Macaca mulatta: one gene and its partner. Each later gene encodes a partner of the first gene's protein in a complex. Links are inferred from orthologs where the notes say so. Each region holds a gene or a part of one and is shown on either strand. Other genes may lie near its edges.

Evidence for each region. The genes of interacting proteins can lie anywhere in the genome.
Region 2: the proteins of ACTB (region 1) and SETD3 are in contact, whole or in part, in a crystal structure (PDB 6ICT), measured with the Homo sapiens proteins. The link is inferred for Macaca mulatta from reciprocal best matches to the Homo sapiens genes ACTB and SETD3. Residues at the interface, in NP_001092.1 of Homo sapiens: Leu67, Lys68, Tyr69, Pro70, Ile71, Glu72, His73, Gly74, Ile75, Val76, Thr77, Asn78, Trp79, Asp80, Asp81, Met82, Lys84; in NP_115609.2 of Homo sapiens: Cys36, Ser37, Ile148, Ala151, Met152, Asn154, Ile155, Asn212, Arg215, Gln216, Val248, Val251, Met252, Thr253, Arg254, Gln255, Asn256, Gln257, Ile258, Pro259, Leu268, Ile271, Trp274, Asp275, Cys277, Ile284, Thr285, Thr286, Gly287, Tyr288.

The regions. Positions count from the first base shown.
Region 1 is NC_133408.1:43,742,883-43,752,425, forward strand, and holds ACTB (actin, cytoplasmic 1), read right to left. Parts: upstream 4,661-9,543; 5' UTR 4,643-4,660; intron 3,785-4,642; 5' UTR 3,779-3,784; coding exon 3,656-3,778; intron 3,522-3,655; coding exon 3,282-3,521; intron 2,838-3,281; coding exon 2,399-2,837; intron 2,305-2,398; coding exon 2,123-2,304; intron 2,007-2,122; coding exon 1,863-2,006; 3' UTR 1,433-1,862; downstream 1-1,432. UniProt on the Homo sapiens protein: Actin is a highly conserved protein that polymerizes to produce filaments that form cross-linked networks in the cytoplasm of cells.
Region 2 is NC_133412.1:172,799,004-172,808,532, reverse strand, and holds the start of SETD3 (actin-histidine N-methyltransferase), read left to right. Parts: upstream 1-4,041; 5' UTR 4,042-4,148; intron 4,149-9,529. UniProt on the Homo sapiens protein: Protein-histidine N-methyltransferase that specifically mediates 3-methylhistidine (tele-methylhistidine) methylation of actin at 'His-73'. Histidine methylation of actin is required for smooth muscle contraction of the laboring uterus during delivery.

The DNA.
Region 1 (9,543 bases):
CAACTAGCTGGGCATGCTGGGGTGTGCCTGTGTAGTTTCAGCTACTTGGGAGGCTGAGGCAGGAGAATTGCTCGAGCCCAGAAAGTTGAGGCTGCAGTGAGCCATGGTTGTGCCATTGCACTCCAGCCTGGGCAACACAACACCCGAGCTCAAGAATAAAAAAAGAGGCCGGGCGCGGTGGCTCAAGCCTGTAATCCCAGCACTTTGGGAGGCCGAGACGGGTGGATCACGAGGTCAGGAGATCGAGACCATCCTGGCTAACACGGTGAAACCCAGTCTCTACTAAGAAATACAAAAACAAACTAGCCAGGCGTGGTGGCGGGCGCCTGTAGTCCCAGCTACTCGGGAGGCTGAGGCAGGAGAATGGCGTGAACCCGGGAGGCAGAGCTTGCAGTGAGCTGAGATCCGGCCACCACACTCCAGCCTGGGTGACAGAGGGAGACTCCGTCTCAAATAACAAAAAAAAAAGAAAAAAAAAAGAATCTGCCTGCAGTGCCAGGCAGGCCCTGCTGTCCAGGAGTCTGGATGTCTCCCTCTGTAGATCACGAAGAAACTGGCCGAGAGGCCACGGGATGGCACTGTCTGCAGTCACAAGGCAGAATCCAGACCTCAGCCCACAGCTAACCAGAGCTGTCTGCAGACCAGATATGGCCCCATGGATCCCCCAACCCAACTGACTGTGATTCCAGGTTCCCCAGTCTGGGTGAATAGGCAGGAATCCCAGCCTTTCCTCAGCCTATGGGAGCCTGGGCCAGGCTGACCCTCAAAGGTGACCGACAGCCACCACTCCATATGGTGAAGGCAAAGGTGTGGCAGCTACGAACACCCACTACACCCCCACTCAAGGGAACACCATGCTAAAAGTTGACCCTCAGGGAGTTCCACTCCCAGAAAATCCAGGTGCCAACCAACCCCAATGAGAAATGGCACCTGGGCCACCAGACACCCCAAAACAGCATTTTCCACCTCAAGCATTTTCCTCAAGCGTTTTCCACCTCAAACCATTTCCACCTCAAGCATATGCACTGAGTACCAGAGAAACTAGGGTACCTGGGAATGGGTGGAAGGGCCAGGACAGGAACTCCCCAGTAAGCAGAAACAGAGACCTGAATCCTGAATCTTCCCCCACCCTCTAAGGCTGCTCAATGTCAAGGCGGAAGGGACCTTGGCCCACCTCCACTCTAGGTAAGGACAAGTTGGCCCCCACCACCCCACCCTTCAAGGATCACCCTCCACTGCCCACAACCCAGTCATGCCACAAAGTCACTCTTGGCCTCATTTGTAAGGTGTGCACTTTTATTCAACTGGTCTCAAGTCAGTGTACAGGTAAGCCCTGGCTGCCTCCACCCACTCCCAGGGAGACCAAAAGCCTTCAGACATCTCAAGTTGGGGGACAAAAAGAGGGGGCATGAAGGCTCATTATTCAAAATAAAACAAAATAAAAAAGTATTAAGGCGAAGATTAAAAAAATTTTGCATTACATAATTTACACGAAAGCAATGCTATCACCTCCCCTGTGTGGACTCGGGAGAGGACTGGGCCATTCTCCTTAGAGAGAAGTGGGGTGGCTTTTAGGAGGGCAAGGGACTTCCTGTAACAATGCATCTCATATTTGGAATGACTATTAAAAAAAAGAACAATGTACAATCAAAGTCCTCGGCCACATTGTAGAACTTTGGGGGATGCTCGCTCCAACCGACTGCTGTCACCTTCACCGTTCCAGTTTTTAAATCCTGAGTCAAGCCAAAAAAAAACCAAAACAAAACAAAAAAAACAAATAAAGCCATGCCAATCTCATCTTGTTTTCTGCGCAAGTTAGGTTTTGTCAAGAAAGGGTGTAACGCAACTAAGTCACAGTCCGCCTAGAAGCATTTGCGGTGGACGATGGAAGGGCCAGACTCGTCATACTCCTGCTTGCTGATCCACATCTGCTGGAAGGTGGACAGCGAGGCCAGGATGGAGCCGCCGATCCACACAGAGTACTTGCGCTCAGGAGGAGCAATGATCTGAGGAGGGAAGGAAACAAACAGGCAGTGAGAACCCCGGATGTGACAGCTCCCCACACACCACAGGGCCCCATGGCCCACCTGCCCAGGTCAGCTCAGGGTGGAAGGACACCCACCTTGATCTTCATCGTGCTGGGCGCCAGGGCAGTAATCTCCTTCTGCATCCTGTCAGCAATGCCAGGGTACATGGTGGTGCCACCAGACAGCACTGTGTTGGCGTACAGGTCTTTACGGATGTCCACGTCACACTTCATGATGGAGTTGAAGGTAGTTTCGTGGATGCCACAGGACTCCATGCCTGAGGAAGAAATGAGGGCGGACTTAGCTTCCACAGCACAGCCCGAAGGGTGACCCTCAGGTCAGGCAGGGCCGGGAGGCGGGTCTCCACTCACCCAGGAAGGAAGGTTGGAAGAGAGCCTCAGGGCAGCGGAACCGCTCGTTGCCAATGGTGATGACCTGGCCATCGGGCAGCTCGTAGCTCTTCTCCAGGGAGGAGCTGGAAGCCGCCGTGGCCATCTCCTGCTCGAAGTCTAGGGCGACATAGCACAGCTTCTCCTTAATGTCACGCACGATTTCCCGCTCGGCCGTGGTGGTGAAGCTGTAGCCGCGCTCAGTGAGGATCTTCATGAGGTAGTCAGTCAGGTCCCGGCCAGCCAGGTCCAGACGCAGGATGGCATGGGGGAGGGCATACCCCTCGTAGATGGGCACAGTGTGGGTGACCCCGTCACCGGAGTCCATCACGATGCCAGTGGTACGGCCAGAGGCGTACAGGGACAGCACAGCCTGGATGGCCACGTACATGGCTGGGGTGTTGAAGGTCTCAAACATGATCTGTAAGGAAGAAATGCACCATGTCACACTCAGGAAGCTACTGGGACAGCCAGGCCAGATGGGGGACATGCAGGAAGTGCAAAGAACACTGCTAAGTGTGCTGGGGTCTTGGGATGGGGATTCTGTTCAGACCTACTGTGCACCTACTGAATACACACTCCAAGGCCGCTTTACACCAGCCTCATGGGCTTGTCACACGAGCCAATGTTAGTACCTATACCCACAGCACTGTCTGTTTTAGACACCTAGTCAGAGAGGCAAACACCAGAAAAAGAGCTCATCTGGGAAAAAGCAAATAGAACCTGCAGAGTTCCAAAGGAGACTCAGGTCAGAGAAGAGAGTCCTACGAAGAACGGCAGAAGAGAGAACCAGTGAGAAAGGGCGCAGCTCCGGGAGACCAGGAAAGAGGGCGGTGGCCACCACAAGAGGTAGCGGGCCACTTACCTGGGTCATCTTCTCGCGGTTGGCCTTGGGGTTCAGGGGGGCCTCGGTCAGCAGCACGGGGTGCTCCTCAGGAGCCACACGCAGCTCATTGTAGAAGGTGTGGTGCCAGATCTTCTCCATGTCGTCCCAGTTGGTGACGATGCCGTGCTCGATGGGGTACTTCAGGGTGAGAATGCCTCTCTTGCTCTGGGCCTCGTCGCCCACATACGAATCCTTCTGACCCATGCCCACCATCACGCCCTAGGAAAGAAAAAACAAGGCGCCCTAAGCACGGGCGCGGCCCCCACCCCAGAAACCGGGAGACCCCCGTGCAGAGAAAGCGCCCTCGCCTCCCGCCCGCTCCCGGGCCCGCCCCACCCACCCAGCTCCCCTACCTGGTGCCTGGGGCGCCCCACGATGGAGGGGAAGACGGCCCGGGGGGCATCGTCGCCCGCGAAGCCGGCCTTGCACATGCCGGAGCCGTTGTCGACAACGAGCGCGGCGATATCATCATCCATGGCGAGCTGCGGGAAAGCCGGGCGCTCTGTGAGCCGAGGTGGCCCCCGCCCTGCCCACTTCCGGCGCGCCGAGGCCTTAGGCCGCCAGGGGGCGCAGGCGCGCGCCCAGATTGGGGACAAAGGAAGCCGGGCCGGCCGCGTTATTACCATAAAAGGCAAACACTGGTCGGAGGCGTCCCCACCGCGCGCGGCAGGAAGCCAGGCCCCCACCCCCTCCCAACCGGGAGCCGGCCCCGCCTCCGCTCCGTTCAAATAGCGCCGGGTCGGCGCGCGCGCGCGCGGCGGCCACACCCTCAGGCGGCCGGCGGCGCGGGCAGGAAGTGCGCGCAAGCGCCCTGGAGCCTCCGCGACCCCACCCCTTCCGGCGGGGCCAGCCCTTGCCCCAGCCCAGGCCGCGGCACCCGGGCCCCAGAACGCACGCGCAATTAGCGCCTGGAGTCCCAGCGCGCACGCGCAACTAGCGCCGATTCCCAGCGCGCACGCAGAGTTAGCGCCCCAAGCCCCAGGACGCACGCGCAATGGCGCCCCAGCCCCCCACCGAGCCTGGCGGGGGGGCTCCGCCGCGCCCACCCTGCAGTTCCCACTGGCAAGAAGCCGGCTCGGACAAAGACCCCGCCGGCTGCCCCCATCCCGAGAGCAGCACCCCCAGAGCGCGCCTCCCGAGCAGGGCCCCGCGCCGCCAAACTGAAGCGGGGTGTCCCCACATCTCTGGAGGCCCAGGGGCTTCTCCCGCGTCCCCCACTGCAGTCCAGTCCCCACATGCGACCCCCGCTGCGGCGCAGGCGGCTCTACACAGGCGAAGGGGCCGCGGCCTTAGGCAGCCGAGCCGGGAGCCGCCTACCAGGGTCGGCTGGCCGGGCTTACCTGGCGGCGGGTGTGAACAGGCGGCGGAGCGGCAAAGGCGAGGCTCTGTGCTCGCGGGGCGGACGCGGTCTCGGCGGTGGAGGCGCGTCGCGCCGCCGGGTTTTATAGGGCGCCGCTGCGGCCGCTCGAGCCATAAAAGGCAACTTTCGGAACGGCGCGCGCTGATTGGCCCCGCGCCGCTCACTCACCGGCCTCGCCGCACAGTGCAGCATTTTTTTACCCCCTCTCCCCTCCTTTTGCGAAAAAAAAAAAAAGAGCGAGAGCGAGATTGAGGAAGAGGAGGAGGGAGAGTTTTGGCGTTGGCCGCCTTGGGGTGCTGGGCCCGGGGGTTGGGGGCGCGCGCGGTGGCCCCCGCACCCCACGCTGGGCAGTGCCCGGTTCGGCCCCGCATGGCCAGGCCTGTCCCCGGCCTGCCCGTCTCTCGGGCCCCCCACCCACCGCGGGACATTCTAGGTGTGGACATCTCTTGGGCACTGAGCGCCCAGGTCGGGTGGGCCAGGGTCTGCACGGGTGCCAGGGTCCTGGGTGCTGTGCGCTCCTGCAGAAGGAGCCCTTGAAGGGCATGGAGTGGCCAGGCAGTCACTCCCCCTTGCCGACTTCAGAGCAACTGCCCTGAAAGCAGGTCTCGGGACCTCTGGCTATGGGGCTCAGCTAGCTAAATGGGCTGGGTGGGTCACTAGGGAGAGACTTGGGCTTGAGAGGTAGAGTGTGGTGTTGGGGGAGTCAGGGGCCTCGCGGCCACTTAGAAGTCGCAGGACCACACTGCCCAGGACAGGGCAGGCGCCAGCGGTCCAGTGGCTTGAGGTGGCCTGTGATGAAAGCTGCAAACCCACCCAGCCACGGCCCTGGGAAGGTGGGCTCTACGGGGCAGGGAAAGTTTCCCCAGGAGCTGCTGCTTCTGAGGGTAACGCGGTCACGCCCAGCCAAGACCAGGCCTGGGGCGTTAGTGGGTGACCCAGGCAGCTCCAGGCACTGCGGGGTGTGGGGGCTGGGTCTACACAGCCTGGGTCTGCGCCCACCGTTCATTGCATGTCTGCTATGCGCAGCCACAGCTGAACTGCCCTCCCAGACCATCTGGAGGCCGCGGGGGGACTCTGGGGACCAAGACTCCATGTGCCAGAGAGGATTGGGGGCGGGGCGGGGTAGGAGCTCAAAGCCAGCCTGGGAAGACCCTCTCCTTGTCACCCTTTCTTGCCTCGGGTCTGTCCACTCAGTAGCACACAAGACCCGGGTGGCTAGGGTCGTTCTGCTCTGGGAATCAGAGACTGTATGTACCCAGCTGGTGGACATGCAGTGATCAGTGGCGTGGGACCACAGAGGGGCATTCAGCTCAACCTAGAGGAACATGCCCTTCTCCTCCTCCCCCTCCTTGGAGGTGGTGACAAGAAGCTGGATTTTTACACAAAAATAGGAAGGGTGGTGAGGTGGGGGCACGTCAGGCCTTCAGGGGGCTTTGCAGCACGTAGTAGGTGTTCGTTGAGTGTGTGTTGCAACAGGCAAAGATGAGTCCATATAAGGACGTGGAACCTGTGGCCTTGTTCCAGTTCACGGTACAAGGCTGTGCTCAGTCAGTGGGACCCACTCCTCCCTCGAAGGTTGCAGAGGCCACAGCCTGGTGGGAAAGATGACCACCACCCAGCACACAGTGGCAGACACAGGTTCACAGTCCAGAAGGCTTGCTAGGCCTCCTCCATCACCACCCCACGCAAGGGCAAACTTTCCCAGCCTGTATACTCCCTGCCTCCTGGGGATGGGACTGTCCTGTGCCTGGCCTTGTATCTTTCAGCTGCAGGCGTCTTGCCACCTGCCTCAGGACCTGCCAACCCTACAGTTCACCAGGCCGGCGTTGTGGGGCGATGGGCGGGGGGGACCTTTTTGCTGCCTGTTGATGAGGGCTGGTTCTGGGGGTTCCTCAAAGGTTGAACTGGGTGGAGTGCTGTGGGAGGTGGGGATGGGACCGGATCTGCAGAGCAAGGATGGGAGGCTGTTGGGTGGGTGGCTCCAGGCAACAAGGTAGGGTGCAGAGCAGACCTGATCCCCAGGCAGGACCTGTGCTGCCACTGGGCCTCTACTCAGCTGGCCAAGAGACAGAAGCTCCAGCCCCACCCCACCCCAGGCTGCAGCCTTCCTGGCCTGTCCTCCTGGCTTGTGGTTCCCTCTGTCTGCAGCGGCCACTTCTTGGTGCTCTCCTATGCACCCTTCAAGTCCCATCCCAGAAAGTCCGTCTTTAGGGAAACCTTTTAGCCTCTGCAACCATGCCTTCCTCCCTACCTCAGACCAAGGCTTGCAGCTGGCATTTAGAACTGGGCCTCACCCACCAGGCTGCGAGCCCTCCCAGGGTCTCCATCACCCCCACTCCTTCCCACCACACCCACCCCAGGGCTCCTCGCTGTTGAATGAGTGACTGCCTGGATGTCCTCAGATGGCAGGTTGGAGGTGGCCAAGCAGCCTGGGGTGAGGGGCAGGGAGGAGCTGAAGAGAGAAAGCAAGCAGCGGAGCAGGAAAAGAGGAAGTAGAACTGGCTGGCCAGGGGGCGGGCTGAGCAGGGGAGAAGTGAATAGGTTCTCTTCTGCGCTTGGGAACTTTGCCCTGGAAGGGAGTTTTCGGAGCTGTCACTTGGGTATGCACGCATTCCCCAGAGAACCCTCGGTTGAACTCAGCCAAGGGGACTCCACCTGCCTGGCTGGGGCTTTTGTTTTTTCCCCTCCAAGCCTTTGCTTTGTTGACGCCCCCACCCTGCAAGGCCTCCAGGCAACCGACTCTTACAGCCCAGACCCAGGGACCCCTCCTTGGCCCTCCCGCAAAACCACCGCCCAGCCACCTTGCCCTGGGCACTGAAGCCCCCTCCCTACCCTGCCAAGAGGGAATCCAGCCTCCTTTTTATTACCTTTTTTTTTTTTTTTTTTTTGATACCAGGTCTTGCTCTGATGCCCAGGCTGGAGTGCGGTCACAGCTCACTGCAGCCTTGACCTCCTGGGCTCAAAGCCCTCACAAGTAGCTAGGACTGTAGGCACACACTTCCGTGCCTGGCTAATTTTTAAATTATCTGTAGAGTTCGCGCTTCTCACCATGTTGCCCGGGCTGGTCTCCAGCTCCTGGGGACTCAAGTGATCCTCCCACCTCAGCCTCCCAAAGTCCTGGGATTACAGGCATGAGCCACCATGCCCGTCCTCAAGCTCCATTTTTTAGAGGAAGGAACTGAGACAAAGCTTCCCTCCTAGACTTGAGTTAGCTCCAGGAGGATGGGCACAGTTCAGCACCCTGAACACAGTAGGTGCTTGTGAGAGGATAATGAATGAGTGAGTGAATGATTGAGGGGGTGCAACATTCCAGGAGACACACCCCCATTCACAGACTAGGAAACTGAGTCAGGACTGGTGAAGTGCTCAAGTCCCCAAATGTGGTGGGAAGGACTCTGGGCTCAGGGCCCCAGAGGTGGCAGCCCCGCCTCCTGTCTCACACTACCCCTCCCTAGTAAAGTGTCCCCTGGAATGTCCCCAAGGCCCAAGTCCAAAGGCTGTTTGAAAGTCTGAATTCCTGGGCCCCACCTCCCTCCTCAGCATTTATCACCTGAGGCCCAGAGAGGACACCATCAGCCTGTGGTCACACAGCAACAACTGGGGGCCCTCCGGCTGGGGTGTGATGGTTTATACCTGTAATCCCAGCATTTTGGGAGGCCAAGGAGGGAGGATCGCTTGAGCCTAGGAGTTGGAGACCAGCTTGGGCAACATGGGAGATCCCACCTCTACAAAATTAGCTGGGTGTTGTGGCACATGCCTGTACTCCCAGCTAATTGGGAGGCTGGGGCAGGAGGATTGCTTGAGCTTGGAAGGTCAAGGCTATAGTGAACTATGATCAGGTCACTGCATTCCAGCTTGGGTGACAGAGGAAGACTCTGTCTCAAAAAAAAAAAAGGAAATTTAAATTTAAAAATTGGATGCTCGGCCGGGCGTGGTGGCTCAAGCCTGTAATCCCAGCACTTTGGGAGGCCGAGACGGGCGGATCACGAGGTCAGGAGATCGAGACCATCCTGGCTAACATGGTGAAACCCCGTCTCTACTAAAAAATACAAAAAACTAGCCGGGCGAGGTGGTGGGCGCCTGTAGTCCCAGCTACCCGGGAGGCTGAGGCAGGAGAATGGCGTGAACCTGGGAGGCGGAGCTTGCAGTGAGCTGAGATCCGGCCACTGCACTCTAGCCTGGGTGACAAAGCGAGACTCCGTCTCAAAAAAAAAAATTAAAATTAAAAAAAATAAAATAAATAAAAATTGGGTGCTCTAGGCCAGGCGTGGTGGCTCACACCTGTAATCCCTGCACTTTGGGAGGCCAAGGCGGGTGGATCACCTGAGGTCAGGAATTCAAGACCAGCCTGGCCAACATGATGAAACCTTGTCTCTACTAAAAATACAAAATATTAGCTGGGTGTAGTGGCGCATGCCTGTAATCCCAGCTACTCAGGAGGCTGAGGCAGGAGAATCACTTGAACCCGGGAGGCAGAAGTTGCAGTGAGCCAAGATTGCACCATTGCACCCAGCCTGGGCAACCAGAGCAAAACTCTGTCTCAAAAAAAAATAAAAATAAAAAAGAAGTTGGGTGCTCCAGCTTTTATTTTTATTTTATTTTTTTTTTTTGAGACGGAGTCTCGCTCTGTCACCCAGGCTGGAGTGCAGTGGCCGGACCTCAGCTCACTGCAAGCTCCGCCTCCCGGGTTCCCGCCATTCTCCTGCCTCAGCCTCCCGAGTAGCTGGGACCACAGGCGCCCGCCACCTCGCCCGGCTAGTTTTTTGTATTTTTTTAGTAGAGACGGGGTTTCACCGTGTTAGCCAGGATGGTCTCGATCTCCTGACCTCGTGATCCGCCCGTCTCGGCCTCCCAAAGTGCTGGGATTACAGGCTTGAGCCA
Region 2 (9,529 bases), on another chromosome or scaffold:
TAACCTTTGAAAATACATTTCCCTTATCTATTGATTGTCTTTCAAATAGGTAAAAGCAATTTTTACATTCTCTTCTCTAGGGTAAACAAATCTAACCATTTTTCTCATCATGACTTTTTTTTTTTTTTTTTTAAGTGTTTCAAGTCCTCCCTAAATATTAGGAATCAAAACAGATATGATGTGCATAGCACATGGGAGGGGGGTGGTAACTAACATTCAGTAACATGTCCATTGTGTGTCTGCTGCGTTGCAGCCATGTCTGCAAGCTAGTTTTCTTATCCTCACAATTTATCACTGAGAAAATGGAGCCAGAGACACGAAGCAACCTGACTAATTCACAGCTAGCAAGCAGCAGCCACAATCTGTCTTACTTTATACCAAGATACTGCCTTCCCTCAATCTAGACACTGCTTTTCTTCTGTAAGTGGAACATTACATCCTAGAACCACTTTTCTCAAGCCAGGAAAACTGAGTTTTTGTAAATGTAATCACACCAACTAAATTTATTTATTTAAAAAAAATTTTTGAGACGATCTCACCTAGTAAATTTATATCTGGTTGGTTCTGGCCTATTATTATATTCCAGCCTTTAAGAACTCTTTGATTTCTGAGTGTCATCTAATGTGTGGCTGATTATCACTACATGGTTTGAGTGCATTTATTAACTTGAGAATCATGCTGTTTATATATTTAAAGTTGGTAATAAAAAAGTGTTAATCAGAGGCCGGGTGCGGTGGCTCAAGCCTGTAATCCCAGCACTTTGGGAGGCCGAGACGGGTGGATCACGAGGTCAGGAGATCGAGACCATCCTGGTGAACACAGTGAAACCCCGTCTCTACTAAAACTACAAAAAAAAAAAAAAAAAAACCTAGCCGGGCGAGGTGGCAGGCGCCTGTAGTCCCAGCTACTCGAGAGGCTGAGGCAGGAGAATGGCGTGAACCCGGGAGGCGGAGCTTGCAGTGAGCTGAGATCAGGCCACTGCACTCCAGCCTGGGCGACAGAGCAAGACTCCGTTTCAAAAAAAAAAAAAAAGTGTTAATCAGAGCAAGGGCAACACCAGAGTCCTGTAGCATATCTCCAAAGACAACTCTTCAGGTTTACATCAACCCATTAATCAACATTTTGGGGTTGGTAATTTGCATGGATATCAATCCATCTAACCACACCTTATCCAATGCATATTTAACTCTTGTATCTAGACACAGTATTAGAATCTTGTTGGAAGACTGTGTCCTAAATAAACTTAAACGAACTTACGTCCAGCAATCCCCAATCACCACCAGTCTAGTAACAAAAGGAAATGATTTGTGTCACCTGGCTTTTTCTTGAAACAGGGTCTTGCTCTGTCGCCCAGGCTGGAGTGCAGTCACGTGATCACGACTCACTGCAGCCTTGATCTCTAACTCAAATGATCCTCCTGCCTCAGTCTCCCTAGCTACCACAGGCATGCACCTCCACATCTGGCTAATTTTTTTATTTTTTTTTAGTGATGAGGTCTCACTATGTTGCCCAGGATGGTCTTGAACTCCTGAGCTTCAGTGATCCTCCAGCTTTGGCCTCCCAGAGTACTGGTATTATAAGCGTGAGCCACCACCTCTGGCCTCACCTGGCCTTTTCTTATTGAAGCTCTGTTGGCTTCAGGGAATCAGCTCTCCTTTCCCAAGTACTCATAAACTTGTTGGCTCTTCCAACCAGATTCTAAAAGTTTATTAATAGGTTCCTAGCAGCCAAGGGCCATCGAATGGTTCTGTGTGAAAACTGAGACATTTACCAGACTCTAGTCTTCTATCATTAACTGCACTTTTAGGATTTTTCAAAATTTATGAATAATGATTTTATAAAGTCATCTGCAAATACTCTGGTATACAATTTACCTGAGCTTAAAAATATGATCACTCTGTAATCTCCTCAATTACCTTGAATTTAATTCCTCTAGATTTTTTTGTCCTCATCCAGTTTTAAAGAAAACAAGCAGAAAACACTGTCCTCCCTTTTAGACACTAAGCAGAGTCACTGCTTTCAAATATAACGTCCTAAAATGAACTAGCCCATTTTATAGGCCACGGCTATGACCAATTTTTCTTTATGACATTCAATTTTAGAAACAGCATTTAACATTTAAGAACCTCATTAACAACTCGAATAGTTTTTATTGCTTGTTGGTGCAACCTACATTTTCAAAATGGAACAAATTTAAACAGGATTTGCCTAGAAATCGACTAATATGCTGGAATACTGCATCACAGTATAATCGAAATGAGATACAAGAGGGGGAAAAAACCCTAAAAGACAGCAGTGGTAGTCGCTCTGAATAAAACAATCTCGGATAATTACTATATTCATAGTCAAGATTATTTAACAGGTAAGCATCCTAAGGGCATAACTTTAATCCAGATGTCTATCAATACTATTACCATTACCACCATCTATCCATTCTTTCATTCAGCAATACGGAGGGCTTATTAAACGTCAGGCAGTGTTCCAGGCGCTGAAAGCTCCTCGCTTTCATTCTAGCAACATCATTCATACAAACTTTTAGTGGGCACCTACAATTGCAAGGCATTGTGCTAGATATCTGTAAACAGCGATTTACATCGAGATACACAAACATCACCAAGTTTCCCTTAAAAACATAGACCACCCTTAAGAAATGCTTAGAAGTTCCTAACCTCAGATGACTTAGCAAAAGCTCCGTTTAACTGGCAATCTAAATTTAGCGAGCACTACCGAGCCTATCTTGGGCAGACAATAGTTTAGGAGCTGTCAGATAACCTCTAGATTTACGCTCCAATTTTCTAAAGAACAATTTCTCTCATAACAAACCAAAGCAACCACCAGGAGCGCGTCCGTAAAGACGATGTCTCGGCAACAACTAAATCTAACCGCGGAAGTGCCTTTTCCTCATTCTTAGTCGCACCCTCGTTACGTGGCTCTTCAAAACTCCAAAGTCGGAGTACCCTAGACATGGAACAACCTCCAAAAAGTCTCAGGCCTAGCCAAGGTTGGGACTAATACGCCGCGAAATAATCGGGGAGATATGAGCAGTCTGTGGCTGTGAGACTGCGCGGTTAACACCCCTGCCCCTTTTGTCCAACCCCTAGAAAGTCCCCGAACTCTGACTGCTCCCCAGTGCGAGGGCCGCTACCAGTTCTAGACTGAGCCCGGCCTCCCTGCCCCGCCCCGGCGCCTCAGACCCTCTCTACACGCCCGCCCCACAGCCCCGCGCCGCCCGCTAAGTTCAATGTGTACCGGAGGTTAGCGGAGGGAGGCAGAATCCGGAAAGAGAGACTCCGCCAGTGGATGGCGGCGGTTGACCATAACCTACTCTGACCTCCAGATACGCGGGAGGTGGGCGGTGCTGCCCGCAGTCGGTGGGTCACTCACCTCTCGCTTCAGGCAAGCCCCTTAGCGACGTCTCTCCTTGCGTACTGCGGCCATCTTGCATGTGGAATGTCGGGGAACTACGTCATCACGCTGCGTCTTGAGACGAAAACCAAGCGACCGGAGGGGCGGAGAGAGTAGGATGCCTGTCAACCAATGGGAAGAAAGCAGAGCTCTCAAAAGAGGAACAAGCCGCCGCTCTCCTCCCCGCCCGCCCGCCCGCCCCGCGGGACAGTGGCTGCTGCGTGCAGGGGGAGGAGCCAGTCACAGGGCCCATCCCGTCGGTCCCGCCCCTTGGAGCAAAAAGGCATTCTGGAGCAACCGAACCTGCTAACGGAACTTGGGCGCGTAGGCGGGGCCCGGGTCGAGATTCGTCCAATCAGAGCTCTGGCGGGGGCGAACGCAGCCAATTGCGACTTCGGGGTTGGCGGCCGCTGAGCCGGCCGCTCTCGTCCCCGGGAGCCGCCAGCCCACTGGCTGGGGAGGACCCCGGACGGAACGCCGGCTGGGCGGCGGGGCGGGGCCGCGCCCATGCGTCCGAGGTGTGGACCAATGAGCAGCGGCGGCGGCGGCCCGGGGGCGGGGTCCGGGGCGGGCGGAGCAGGGTTGGGCCGCGGCAGCGGGGCCGTCTCAGGCTGCCGTCCCGCCCCTCCCGTCCGGCCGCCGCCGCCGCCGCCACCGCCGCCACCGCCTGGGGGTTGGTTGAGGCGGACGGCGGGGTCCGGGCCGGAGTGCGTCGTTCCCGCTGCGCTAAGGGAAGCGGGCAGGTGAGTGCTGGCGGCGGTCTCTGCGCGCGCGCGGCCCGCGGGCTGCGGGGAAAACTCGCGCTGCGTCTCCGAGCTCTACGAGGCCGTCCCTCGCCCTGGCCAGCGCCCCTCGGCCGAAGTCCGGCCCGCGCCCCCGCCAGGGTCTCCGCTTGCCGCTCTGGGCCCAGGGCTTGAAGGGGGCAGGTGTGCGCTCGGGTGCCTGGGCGGGGAGGGCCCGGCGGGGTCGGAGGGCTCCGGTCGGCCTCTGCCCGGGCGCCCTGCGGGGCGGGAGGCGCGCTCTCGCCGCTGCCCGGTCCCCTCTGCCGCCCACGCTCCCGGGCCTCGCGCCACCCGGTCTCGAGGTGGTGGCAGGTGCAGGCAGCGCTCTCCCCGCGCTTGGTCTCCTGTCCCCGGCCCTCGCTCCTGCTCTCGGGTGGGGCCCTGGTCCCTCGGGCTGGTCGGCTCGGCTCGGCGCGCGGCCGGGTCGAGCTCTCATTTCCTTCCTTCCTCCCGTCTCCCCGCTGCTCGGGGAAGGCCGTGCGGTTTTATGTTCCTCTCTGCGAGTTCTCGGTGCCCACCGGGGTGCCCGGGGACCAGCCCCCGCCTCCTCCCGCTCGGTCCAGTTAGGAAGACGGTCGTAGGAAATAGGTCGTCTTTCTTCCCACGCGTCCCTGGCCGTGCTCCACACGCGCAGTGCCCTACCAGGGAGAGGCATTCAGTGCTTTAGAGTTTGTCATTCCGGCGTTAAACTCTTCTCCTCGTGGCTCCAGCCTGGCGATGCAACTCTGTCTTTCCCCCGTCTCCACTCGGGAAAAGGAGCCGACAGTGACGCGCGCCACTGGCTGCGGGGCTCACCCTCGTCGGGCCGGGGTTGGGAGGAGGGCATTTAAGTATTGCAGAGGCATTCACGGCTTAGGACCACTCGGACCGTGTTATTTTGCTTTTCTAAATAAATAAGGTGATATTTCAAAAATACTTTTAAAGTATGCTGACAAATTAATTTTGCTTTTAAGAATCCTCGAAGAGTTACCTCTCTCTTCGTAGCCTGATTGTGGTGCTGATGAGACCACTATAAATGCGTTTGTCAAAACTCAGAACCGGACACTGAAAAGTGTGGATTTTATCTTACGTAAACTATACCTCTTCCTCTCCCGTTTTTCTTCTTGAAATGACCTTGCCAGTATTTCAGAACTGAGCTAACCAGTAATAATGTCGGAGAAGTGTTTATTATTTTAAGTAAATACCTTTAATCCAAGAATATAGCGAAATAAAAGCAGTCTTCCTCTCCAGTGTTAAAATTTGCCAAGACTTGCTTGAACCTTGCTGTATATACTGTGTTTATACGGGCTACCATGCGTGAAGAAAGTCCAGCAGTACCGGATTAGTCCCAGGGGCTGCCGTGATTGATACTTTGGTGAAATTCCAACAGTTTACCGAGGAGTTTTTCTCTGGCCTAAGAAAGTAGTTTGCAAAGCCAAGTTCTCAAACAGCTACAGAACCTCTTTATTGGGACCCCAGACAACCTTGGATTTTAGCCTTCTGCTACCCCTTTCCTGTCTGCCCTCTAAGTGATTGTAAGTTAATATCTGAAATGGAACTCTAGTCTGAAGGAGTAAAATGGTTGCTTCTCCAGTGTGCTAACATCTCAGGGCTTTTTTTCCTGGAATTGGAGTGGTGTTGAATTTGAAGATTAAAACATCTTATGTTTGTATGTACGTTAATAGCGAAAGCTACTCGTAAGAGCACAGTGACTGTCAGTGAGAAAGTGATGGCTGCTGCGATGCTCTTCCCTGCCGTGGACATTTAGGCCACGTTTTAAATGATAATTAAACTTTCGCTTTAGAAGCCTGGATAATGAGAAAAATGTGGAGGTTGTACTCAGATATTTTTCCTGTTTAAAGCTCAACCACTGGACAACTGTTTTTGTTTTGAGAGTTCTGATAAACGGTCACAACAGCCTCCTTGAAACACAGTACTCTCCTGCCTGGAGGAGAATGACAGGATGACGGCACCGGGGAAAGTATGACCATCAGCCACAAAGGCTTGCTTGGAGTGAATATTTAATAGACAGTCATTGAATTCAGTGAAAACCAGGTGCATAGTTTGTGCTGTGTAGAGTTGTAGTAAAAATATAAGCAATAATCCCACCTCCAAGTCAGGGTTACTATGAATGCTTTGTGACTAGATGTCAGGGTAGTTTGAGGCGTACTGGGTATCTGAAATGTTTGAATTACAGAGTCTTTTTTCTTATCACGAATCCGAGGTAGGGTTTAGAACTGTAACTAATAATGTATCTTTCTTATGTGTAGTTGGATGACTGTCCTTCTCTGAGAGGTTGTTTATCTTTAGAGACTGGTTTGCCTGTTCCCTGGTTGCTGTGCCTGGTGCTTCTTTTGGGGGTGGGGAGGAAGAGTTTCAAGTGTGTTTCTTTCCCTTGGACCGAAGTCCTGGGAATGGAGTGGTGACTTTGTTCCCCCAAAGAGAACTAAGAGTCATTTATTCCTATGGCATTAAATGTTTTTAACAGAGCAGTGAACTTACCTTTATTCTTATGTTACTTTGGATTTTGCTTGTGGCCAGTTATAATATTTGCTTTCTCAATTACCTGCCATTATTTTTGGGCCCTTTCTTTATCAGTGAAAACTCTTCTGATTAGCTGTGCATCTTTTCTCTCCTGCTACAGTCATAGAAGTGTTTATCTGGGTAACAGTTTGTTCTGGGTCATATTTAGACTGAAGATTCTTGCTTTTACAGTTTTCTACAGTTTTCACTTTTGTTGCCTTTACAATGGATTTCTGTCCATTGGATTTCCTTTTATCATCTCATTTTTCTATTCATAACATTGGAGAGGTTAACTATGTTGATATGCAAATATAATTAATTTACATAATTACTCAAGTTAAAAAATTTCTATCGAAATATTAATATATATAATGTATTTTCCTATTACAAAGAAGTTTAGACTTGGCTTTTTTTTTTTTTTGAGATGGAGTTTCTCTTTTGTTGCCCAGGCTGGAGTGCAATGTCGCAATCTCGGCTCACTGCGACCTCTGCTTCCTGGGTTCATTCTCCTGCCTCAGCCTCCCGAGCAGCTGGGATTACAGGCATGCGCCCCCACACCTGGCTAATTTTGTATTTTTAGTAGAGACGGGGTTTCTCCATGTTGGTCAGGCTGGTCTCAAACTCCCGACCTCAGGTGACCTGCCCACCTTGGCCTCCCAAAGTGCTGGGATTACAGGCGTGAGCCACAGCACTGGGCTGAGACTTGGCTTTTTAAAAAGTCACTTAATAGTCTTTTGAAAAAAAATTAGCATCTCCAAGATTAAGAAGTCTTGCTTTTTAACTCAAGCCAGAGATTAGCTGTGTTGACCCCGTTTCCACTTGGGAGTCTCCTGTGAGTTTTGGAAATAAACAGACTGTAAAAACAAGAGGTAAAAACACAGATATTGAACATTTTCAACTGAGATAAATTTGACAAATACCAAAGTTAAGACTTTGCAATTCTTTTTTTTCTTGTATCAAGTACTTTCCAAGTAGAAGTGAACTAGTAAGTCCATACAGTCTTGGTTGACAATGGAAGACACATCTATCTTTGATGTTAAGATTTTGAAAGGGATCTACTGATTACTAAGCCAAAGTGAATTCTTAGCCTTTTACGAGCCTAACCTCAGTACTGGGATGGGGAAGTAGGGGAGGGCAGAGGGACAGAGCAGGAAGAAATGTTTCCACTGTTTTTTAGAAAGACAAAAAAATTGTCTAGAGAATGTAGATAATCAGGTGTCTACATGGAACTTTTTATTTTTAATTTTTAATTGACAAAAATATTTGATACATAGAACTCTTTTTTTTTTTTGAGACGGAGTCTTGCTCTGTCGCCTGGGCTGGAGTTCAGTGGCCGGATCTCTCAGCTCACTGCAAGCTCCTCCTCCTAGGTTTAGGCCATTCTCCTGCCTCAGCCTCCCGAGTAGCTGGGACTACAGGCGCCCGCCACCTCGCCCAGCTAGTTTTTTGTATTTTTTAGTAGAGACGGGGTTTCACCGTGTTAGCCAGGATGGTCTCAATCTCCTGACCTCGTGATCCACCTGTCTCAGCCTCCCAAAGTGCTGGGATTACAGGCTTGAGCCACCGCGCCCGGCCAAGAACTCTTAATAAAATGTGCACTATCTTAGGCTTATCACTATCTGTGATCCTGAGTTTCACTTTCCTTTTTTTTAAGAAAACAAGTCATTAGGACGTAACAGGTCTAAGAAATTCTTCCAACTAAAGGGTTTACAATGTTCAGTCTCAGAAAATAGACATGCCTTTTCAATATCAGCAGTTTTCTCTGACACATATTTGAGAGGAAGTAAGGATTAGTGTTATTAAAGCTGCTTTTACCATAAAATGTTTACGGGTGTCTAATAACATTTTTGATTTGTTGGTTGTAATAATTTAGCATTGCTGCATGTCATGGTCACCTCATGGTTCTGCGTTTTTCCTCCGCAACAAAAATGTGGCATTGCAGAGATCACTGTGGGATGTACTGGATTGGGTGGAAGCTCTTTTGGAAGTTTCGCGCATGTCCCAATTTAACCTGCAGCTCCTCCTATGTATTTGGACAAAGCCAGCAAAATAACTATACTTTTAAAAGGCCAAAGAAATAAAGCCTTTACATGCGTATGTTTTATCACTGCAAAGGAATAGTATTATTTTGAATATCAGAGATAACAGTGAACCTTTGGAGCTCTCATAAATGGGTTGGTTTTGAGCCGAATTCATGAAATATTATTGAGTATCAGTAAGAGTTGTCATTGAGGTGTGCTGGTGAGGCTCTGACACAAACTGAGTCTATCATTTTGCATAAATTACTCAGTCTCTGTAAGTGTCAACTTTCTCATCTGTAAAGGGGGCTTGTTAATACCTATCTGATACTGTGTAAAATGCTTACCTCAATTCCTGATCATATAACAAATGCCTAAATGACATGATTGTGATGGGGACGATCATGTTGGGGAACTGCCATAGGACACAGGGCACGGCAAGGATGATCCTGAAATAAGGAACATGACAGCATGAATAGTTGCATTTAGGTTCAAAAACTCAGTTGTTAATACAGCACATCTATCTTGCTGAAGATCATGAAAGACTTTAGTTGTGACTGTCTTGTCCTAAAGGCTGTGGGACCATGTTGTATCATCTTTGTGTTTCAGATTAGATTCTCAGGAAATGTGCAGGAGTGAGGGAATGAATTCACTTGGCTCGTAGAAAAGCTAGGGCAGTCTTAGGAATATTAGTCAAATTTCTTTGAGTTTCAGGAAGGTGGGTAGTCCATCTCCGAGCACATCTGAAGGGTTTTGTTGACTTCGGAAAAAAAAAACAACAGCAGTTCATTGAAGTATAATATGCTTAAATCATTTTGCTCA